2 linked regions of the Ovis aries genome follow. The protein of the gene in region 1 interacts with the protein of each later gene in a pairwise test. Links are inferred from orthologs where the notes say so. Each region holds a gene or a part of one and is shown on either strand. Other genes may lie near its edges.

What was found. The genes of interacting proteins can lie anywhere in the genome.
Region 2: the proteins of OTX1 (region 1) and VWC2L interact in binary tests that used the Homo sapiens proteins (3 or more experiments, as listed by UniProt). The two-hybrid records come from large-scale screens. The link is inferred for Ovis aries from reciprocal best matches to the Homo sapiens genes OTX1 and VWC2L.

Annotation. Positions count from the first base shown.
Region 1 is NC_056056.1:45,201,449-45,205,628, reverse strand, and holds the start of OTX1 (homeobox protein OTX1), read left to right. Parts: upstream 1-1,318; 5' UTR 1,319-1,427; intron 1,428-2,114; exon of another isoform or gene 2,115-2,193; intron 2,194-2,554; 5' UTR 2,555-2,623; intron 2,624-4,177; 5' UTR 4,178-4,180. UniProt on the Homo sapiens protein: Probably plays a role in the development of the brain and the sense organs. Can bind to the BCD target sequence (BTS): 5'-TCTAATCCC-3'.
Region 2 is NC_056055.1:216,577,727-216,581,374, forward strand, and holds part of VWC2L (von Willebrand factor C domain-containing protein 2-like), read left to right. Parts: intron 1-773; coding exon 774-922; 3' UTR 923-3,648.

The DNA of each region.
Region 1 (4,180 bases):
CTCAGGGGAGTGCGCCCAGCGTGCCGGCCAACTCTTCCCGACAAACTAGTGCGCTCCAGTCAGCGCTTTTCCCCAGAACCGAAGGCGGGGGCTATATTTCGTTTCTAGCTTTAAATCTCTGCGCATCTCGGGGGCTCGGAGCCCAGGGCCTCGCGAACTATTCCCCCGCGGGGGCCTGCGCGAGCCTAATATGTGTCCCCACTCGAGTCAGCGCTGCGCTCTGCGCAGTTTCTTTTCCTGTTAAGGCTTTATCTTGTTCGTGTTTTTCCTTTTCTCTCATTCTTTTATTGTTTTCGCTCTCTCTTTCTCTTGCTTTTGTGAATGGGCCGCGGTGTCTTTGTTCTGGAGAGAAGCGCCCGTGTCGCTGACTTTTGTGAACCAGAGAAGGATCTTGTAAAACCTTTTCTCCTTCATACTCCCCCCCCACACCCCTCCTCTTTTGCCCCTTTGATTAGATGTTCCCTCATCGTCAAAAAAAAAAAAATGTAATTTCGTTAGTCTGGCGGCCACTTTCTTTGAACATTAGCTCGCTTTCAGCTCCAACTTCAATTAGAAGGAGTTGATTTTGAGAGATCAACAAAAGAACCGACCAAAGCCTTATTAAAGGTCCTAAGAAGATCTCCCGGGTTCTTTGAGAAGCAGTTAAGGAAACAGTGTGCCCTCCATCATATTCTGTTACCGTATTTTATTCGGACTCCAAAGGAAAGTGTCGCTTGGGGGAGGGGAAGCACTTTGATGAGCGGCGGCCGCGGCCCCTTTTCACTCAGCGGGCTCCCCCGTCCTTCTCCGCCACCTCCTCGCCCCGCGCCCGGTGCGTTCTCGGTGCCCTACCCCGCGGCCCCGCAGCGCCGGTGCTCCCCACTGCGAAGCGCCCGGCGGCTCCTAGACTCGCCCTCACACTTACTCTGGTTCAAACTTTTCACTCCGCCTGTTGAGGTGGAGGGGAGGGGGCGGGGGGGAGATTAAGAAGAAGCGGTAGGAATTCCTCGAAAGGGGGTAAGTAAAGTCGGCCTAATATTCAGGAGGAGGTGCCATTTAAAAGAATTGCATTACTCAGCGTTGGGGCGCAAACACTTTTTTTGCGCTTTGAAAAGTCCACCCAGGTAGACGTGTTTTGAGAAGTTTGTTCGACTGGGAAATGGGCTTCGCCAGTACGAACTATCCGGGGAGATCGCTCAAGGAGGCTCCGGCGGCATGAAGGAAGGAAACTGAGGGCAGAGTCTGTGGCCACGTTTTCCACTAGATTGTCCCCTAGTAAAAGGAGCCAGTGTGAAAGACAAAGTTTTCTATCCAAACCTTTTGATTCAGAAGTACAGTGTATGTGTAAAGGGGAGGGGACGCTGGGAGCCGACATTTCAAAAGAAGCTTTCAGGATTTGCAAACACCTATCGTGGGGACTGGAAACTCCAGGAGACGTCGAAGAGCAGGTAAGTGGCCGTGCCTCCCTTGCGGGTGCGGCTCAAGGGCACTGGAGTCCTGAGGCGCCGAGGCGGGATCTGCGCGCTCGGGTCTGCTCCCGCTCTCAGCAAAGTAGCCCGGACCAGCACGAGTTGCCCGCCGCGTGCGTCTGCGGGTGATGGCCCGGTGCATGAAGACTCTGGGGCCCGCGGATGGCCCGGTGCATGAAGACTCTGGGGCCCGCGGCGTCGGGAGAGGGGCCGGAGGCCGGTTCCCCTCCAGCCCGCAGCTCCCGGCTCCTCGCGCCCATCGGGTGGCGTGCCAGAGAGCGAGGGAACCGGTTCTCCAGCACCTCGCCTCCTCTCTGCCACTCCCTCCAGGGCGCCAAAAGGGCGAGAGAAGGGCGGGGAGCCCCGGGGCAACCTCAGGGCCAGCGTTTCCCTCCGCGGCCCGGGCTCCCGCGCGGCGCTCGCCTTGCTCGTCTTGCTCTGCGCTGCGTTTGCCAGTCTAGCCCCGGAGTTAGCGCGCGACCGGGGCGGGGCGGGCGGGCGGTGAGGGCGGGGTGCAGGGGGCGGGGGAGGGCGGGGGAGCGCGGAGGTAACCCCCGGCTCGTGCTGCCATTGCCCGGCTCCCTGTCACTCAGCCCGCGCGGGGCCGGGGATTGGCAGCCTAGCCCCGTTACGCACTCACCTCGCGTTCACATACCCGGGGAGGGCAGTAGAAAGGTGATCAATCTTCATCAGGCTACATTTCCAATCACCTAAACAACCCGGCGAGACAAGCCACTCCGACAAGGTAACTCGCTTGATTTATTTAGTTTGCAAAGTGCCTCTGCAGGACTTCCCCAGCCCCCACCGCCTCCACGCTGCACGGAGTGCCACGGCAACCTCGAGCCACCTCCCAGCTCTGCCCCTCTTACCCCCACCTTCTCCTTGCGGCCCCCTCGGTGCGGTCCCGGGTGAGGCACTGTGTCGGGAGCGTGTGGGGCTTTGCAAACAAAGTGTCTGTGCAATAAAGTGAAACCTGGAAGGACACGCACAAAGCCACTAGAAAGAAAGAGAAAGGGAGGAGGGAAGTTGGGGAAAGAAAGAAATCCCGCGGCTCCCTGACCCCCCGCCCGGGCCCGCGGTAATTCCTGTGCCGCTCTGTTTTGCAGGTTGGCCGTCCAGAGGGTCTGTGTGAGGGCGAGAGGTAGATGGTGAGCGGCCCCGGCAGCTGAGGGCAGGTAAGGAGAAAGCCGCTGGCCGCCCGGGACTCTGGGAACGCGTCGTGGCTCTTGCCCCCCGCCCCCCTCAAATGGGTCCCCGCTTCCCCGGTCCCTGGCATGTGGGGGGCGGGGCTGGGAAGCCACCTGGCTCCCCTCTTGCTGAGCGGAGGACCCCGGAGCTCCGCGGCGGCCCCGCACCCCTCCCCCGCCTCCTCCGAAGTAACCCAGCTAAAGTGCTAAGTTTGAAGAAAGTCTTTGAAAACTCACCATTGCAGTCTAGCAGAGTCGCCACAGCTGAGTCCCATTCTCCCTTGGCCCCGGCTCTTTCCCTTTTGTCGCCTTCCCTGCAAACCGAGTTTTCCCGGCCCAGGCCGTGGGTCCCTGGGGAGAGAAGCGGGAGACTTCTCTAGCTCTAACTTCTTTCTTTCCCTGAACTCTTCTAGCCCGGGTCCCAGGTCTGCTTTAAGTTCCTGTGAAGCGGGCTAAAGCGACAGGTCCTCTGGGGTCTCCGTCCCACTCTTCCAGCGCTACTTCCTGACTCCTGATTGTAGCACCTCCGTTTGGGGGGCAACCTGGGGAAGCCAGGCGTCGACCTTCCTGCCCGGGGCAGCGCGAACTACGCCGCAGAGGCCTAGTTCTCTAGTCTGGATCGGGTCCTCGGGCTCTGGTTCAGCTAGTAGAATAATCCGGAAGCGCACCAGACCTATTGCACTGAGGCTTCCCAAATCCGCCAGACCCTTGGGGCGCTGGTCAGGTCACCTTTCGACCCCGGCCGGGACCCCATTGTCCGCAGCCAGGACTGGCTTGCTCTGGGGAAGCACGGCCTGCGGCTGTGGCGAGGTGCGGGTGATCCCGGGCGGCGTGTTTGAACCGCCACCTGTACGGTGGCGCCTTCTGGTCGCCTCGGCCGGACCTGGGCTCGAATCGGTGGTAGAAGTGTGGGTGGGATTCCGGGTAAGCAATCTCTCAGCGGCCAGGCACAGAGAGGTAAACTGGTAGAGCGGCTGTGGGACCCAGCCGCGGAGACTCTGGAAGGATGTACTCAGTGAGCAATGCGTCCCGGAGAGGCCCAGGTGCCGCGAGCCCTCCGCTGTGCCTCACCTTGGCTCTCTGGAGTCTACCTGTCCGTTCCACTTTCAAAAACATTTGAAACAAAACGAAACAACCCCTCATGCTCTGGGTCTCCTGCTGCCTTGAGGTCGAGGGGATGTTTGCTTGTGTGGTGTGATGCCCTCTCCCACCCGAACAGATTTTTGCCTAGTCTTGGGACCTAGCGCACTCTGCGTTTTGGGCTCTGACCTCCCAAGGTTGCCCCCGATTTTAACCTCTCCTCACTCCTAGCGTCGCCCTACGAGTGTCTGTCCCATTCCAAGCCCGAAAAGAAGTGATAATGATCCAGAAATTTTACTTTTCAAAGAATCTGTGGTCTTCGGGCTAAGGCCTTATAGAGCCGAGTTCTGCACAGATCCATAGCCTGCGTCACCTCCCCATCCTGTGACTCCTTCCTCCGGCAAGACCAGGAAGCAGTGGTGGCTTGGAATGACAGTTTCGGTGTGTCATTTGTCTCCATAGGCC
Region 2 (3,648 bases), on another chromosome or scaffold:
CACATTTATCTATAACAAGCAAGTGACATTTTGAGCAAAGTTTTTCTGAATCTGAAAAAGTAAAATTCCTGCTGACTTTCAAAAGCCAGCCCTTTGAGTCATTCTTTAAAATATATATATATTAGATAGCCAGCAGATTAAAAGAACTCTTTTTATAAAAATCAAATGAACCTCTAACAAAGTTTGTTTGGGACATGAATAAATCATCTGGTCATGAATTATTCATTATTATCAAGAAACAGGCTGGGGATTCCAGGAATCCCTGGACTTGGGGAGGTGCTGAAACCAGGGAGTGAGCAAGTTCACTGTCTCATACCTACTCTGGGAAGGGAAAGGCCAGGCCACAGGCACAGACAGTGATGCTGACCATGCTAGACCCTCATTCAGGTTTCAGGGGACACTCTGGCAGTCTTAACACTCAGAGAATAAAGCAAATAGACTTTAATCCATATCTTACTTTAGAAAAAATGCTTGTACTCAGTAACAGATATTAAGACTTTTTTCTCTTTTGAGCATTGGTACTTTTTTTTTTTTTTAATGCATGACACATATGTAGAATAAGAGCTCTGTGCAAAAGATAGCAGAAGTTAAAAGCTTGCATTTAAGGGAGATGACTAGAAAATTCCTTAAAGATATGCTGGTAAGAGTAGTCTGACCTACTCATTCATGGCTTTGGGGATTGGATTTTTTTTTTTTAACTGAGGTGGGAGAGGGAAACAAAAAAGGGAGTCTCTCAGACCTAATCAACTAATCAGCTTATATATGTGTTTCAGGTCCAAACTGCTTTGCAGGAACGACGATCATTCCGGCTGGCATTGAAGTGAAAGTGGATGAATGTAACATCTGTCACTGTCACAATGGGGACTGGTGGAAGCCTGCTCAGTGTTCAAAACGCGAATGCCAAGGCAAGCAGACTGTGTAGAGGCGATTCCCACCCGACGACGAGCTCTTAGGAGACGAGGCCATGGCTTCCACACAGCACATCTTCAAAACAAGACAGAACAAACAAACTCCTGCCAGCTACAACAGGGTCACCAGCAAAACCTTTTAGGGTTGACAAAAGTGAATATTTTACTAAGAGGACATTTCTCTCTTTCTTTCTTGCTATACAAAATATACATAGTATACAGCTATTGAAACCGCTTTTGTAATTATCCTTGCTTGATGGTGACTTGACCACTGGATTTCTGGAGCAAAAAGAAAGAAATAGCCTTGAACAGGCTTCTTCTCTGGTGACACCTCTGGCCTGCCAGCTCACCATCTACCGACTTACTCCACTTTTACTCTTCTGTAAACATGGCATTTTTCTCTTGCAGTACTTCCTTTTTTGCTCTTTAGAGTCTAAGGGGCCAAATTTAATTGCACAGGAAGGTTTTGAGTTGTGTCAAACTAGCTTCCAGTAAGCGGTGCCAGGGTAAGGACCCTTCCTGATTAGGAAGATGCAAAAACATGCAGCCAATCACTCCCCTTGAGTGAATCTTGCCGTGCAGGGGAGAAGAGAGAGGTGCACTGAGAGGGTCCACTGCTGGGCTAGGTGGGGAACTGATGCTCCGTGCATTATGCGAGGGCTCACAATTCGATTCTTACAAACCACACATTTCATTCACAAAACCTTGAAACTGCCAATCAAAAACTAATATGTGAAGAATACCATGAGCTTGACTAAAGAATCCAAAGGGAGACAGGTATCCAAAACTGCAACATTAAACACTAGGCTTTCTCATGATGTTGAATTTAATTTCAGCTTATAACAAAACACACTCTAAACCCACTCTGTCACCTGGCACAATAAATACCAGAACCAGGGTGAACAGCCCCACTGTGAATCTGAAGCCTTCTGAACACTTTTGGCTCTTGAGTTCAGTTCTGGCTGAAAGCCAGTACTTGTACACAGGCAGTTTTTCTGGTATGAGACTGTGTTTGCCATGTTATACTAATGACCACTCAGCCCTCTGACTAAAACACAGATTCAGGACACTCTTTCCACCTTAAGTGCTGATTTAAATTAAAGATTAGGGTAGAGTGGGTCTTGCACAATACAATTCCATTTGTTGAACATTTTTTTAAATGTATATATTAGATATTAAGCAATTAAAGTGAACCTTTGAAGAGTCTCAAGGTTGCCCTGGCAATGCTGCTAGTATAGTAACAGGAAAAAAAAACAAAACACACACACACACACACAGGGTATCTAATGCCACCTCGATTCAAGTGCACACTGAGCAGTTCTGAAACCACACAGCATAGCTAGTCGCTTATTTCACTCTCCTGTCTTGAAAACCCTGACACAGATCTGGTAGGGTCCTTGAGGAACCTTGAAGGTTATCTTCATTATCAATGTTCTGTCCTTTTCTGCTCCCACTCCTACCTGGCCTTGGCCATAACTCCAGCAGAGTGATGCCTTCCTGGGCAAGGTTTCTCAGCCTCAGCACTATTGACATTTGGGGCCAGACAATTGTCACTGGGAGCTGTCCTGTGCTTTTTTTACGATGTTGAGCAGCATTCTTGTCTTCTATTCACTCAGTGCCAAGAGCAGCACCCCTAATTGTGATAAAAGAATGTCTCTGAACATTGCCAAATGTACCCAAGGTGTTTGGGAGGGGGCAGAATTTCACCTGGTTGAGAACCAGTGGTCTAGAATAATCAGTAGAGAGTGGTTTTCTGCCAGGCAAGAGCTGGCTGCGGCTGTGGCTCAAGGAGCCTCCGAGCCCTTGGGGACAGGCAGGATCAGAAGACCTGAGATTCAAATGGAGTAAGGCCCCACCGCCACATGGTCACAGGTCTGCCCTCTGGGCATACATCTCTCTAGTCTCACTCACTGGGTTTCCCTTTAAAATTGCCAAGCCTCTCCTCCCTGGAAGCACCTCCCATCATCAAGAAAGAACTGTCATTTCCAAAATTAATGTGTTGACAAGTTGGACCTGACACTTCTCACATACACTGCACTTGTGTTATGATACAAATAGCCAGGCCAGCATCATAGGAGGGAGCGCATCAAGCCGCCTTTCCTTAGAACACCAATTTGCACCAAGGTTGGTGCTTTTCCGTTACCACCCCAGAAACATCATATAGACAGCCATGAATCATTCATGAACAATTCTGCATGATTTATTCGCACACTCCAAAGTAAAGGCACTACTCCACACTTCAGTGTATGTCTAGACAGAGATGTGTTACAGAGCTTTCTTTGCCCTGAGGTTGCCTATTGCCAGCTTCAAAAATCTACACTCTCAGAAAGAAATAATAATAATAAATGACAGGAATAAGGTTTGAAACCCAGAAACATCATTAATAGAGCCATGTAGCATAGTACCCCATCTATTATTAAGGAGTTACTCTGTCCTTTTTAGGAAACAGAAGGAAAGAGCAACAGGGAAGCCAGGGTACAGGCGTTTTGCATCAAAGTCTTGGCTCAGTGATAGTCACTGCAAGAATTTTCAAGAATGGAGTATAATACCCATAAAGAAACTCTCTTCAGAGAGCTTGCAGAATGAAGGCTGCTCAGCGGCCTGTTACCAGCAAGAGAGAGGGATTATTTTGCTGTTCTTGGATTTTTCTTTTCTCATAGTATCTCACTACAAGATGTTTCCTTTAAGACTTTGTAGCACTGACATTCCCACCCACACCCACACCCTCCCACTGCCCCTG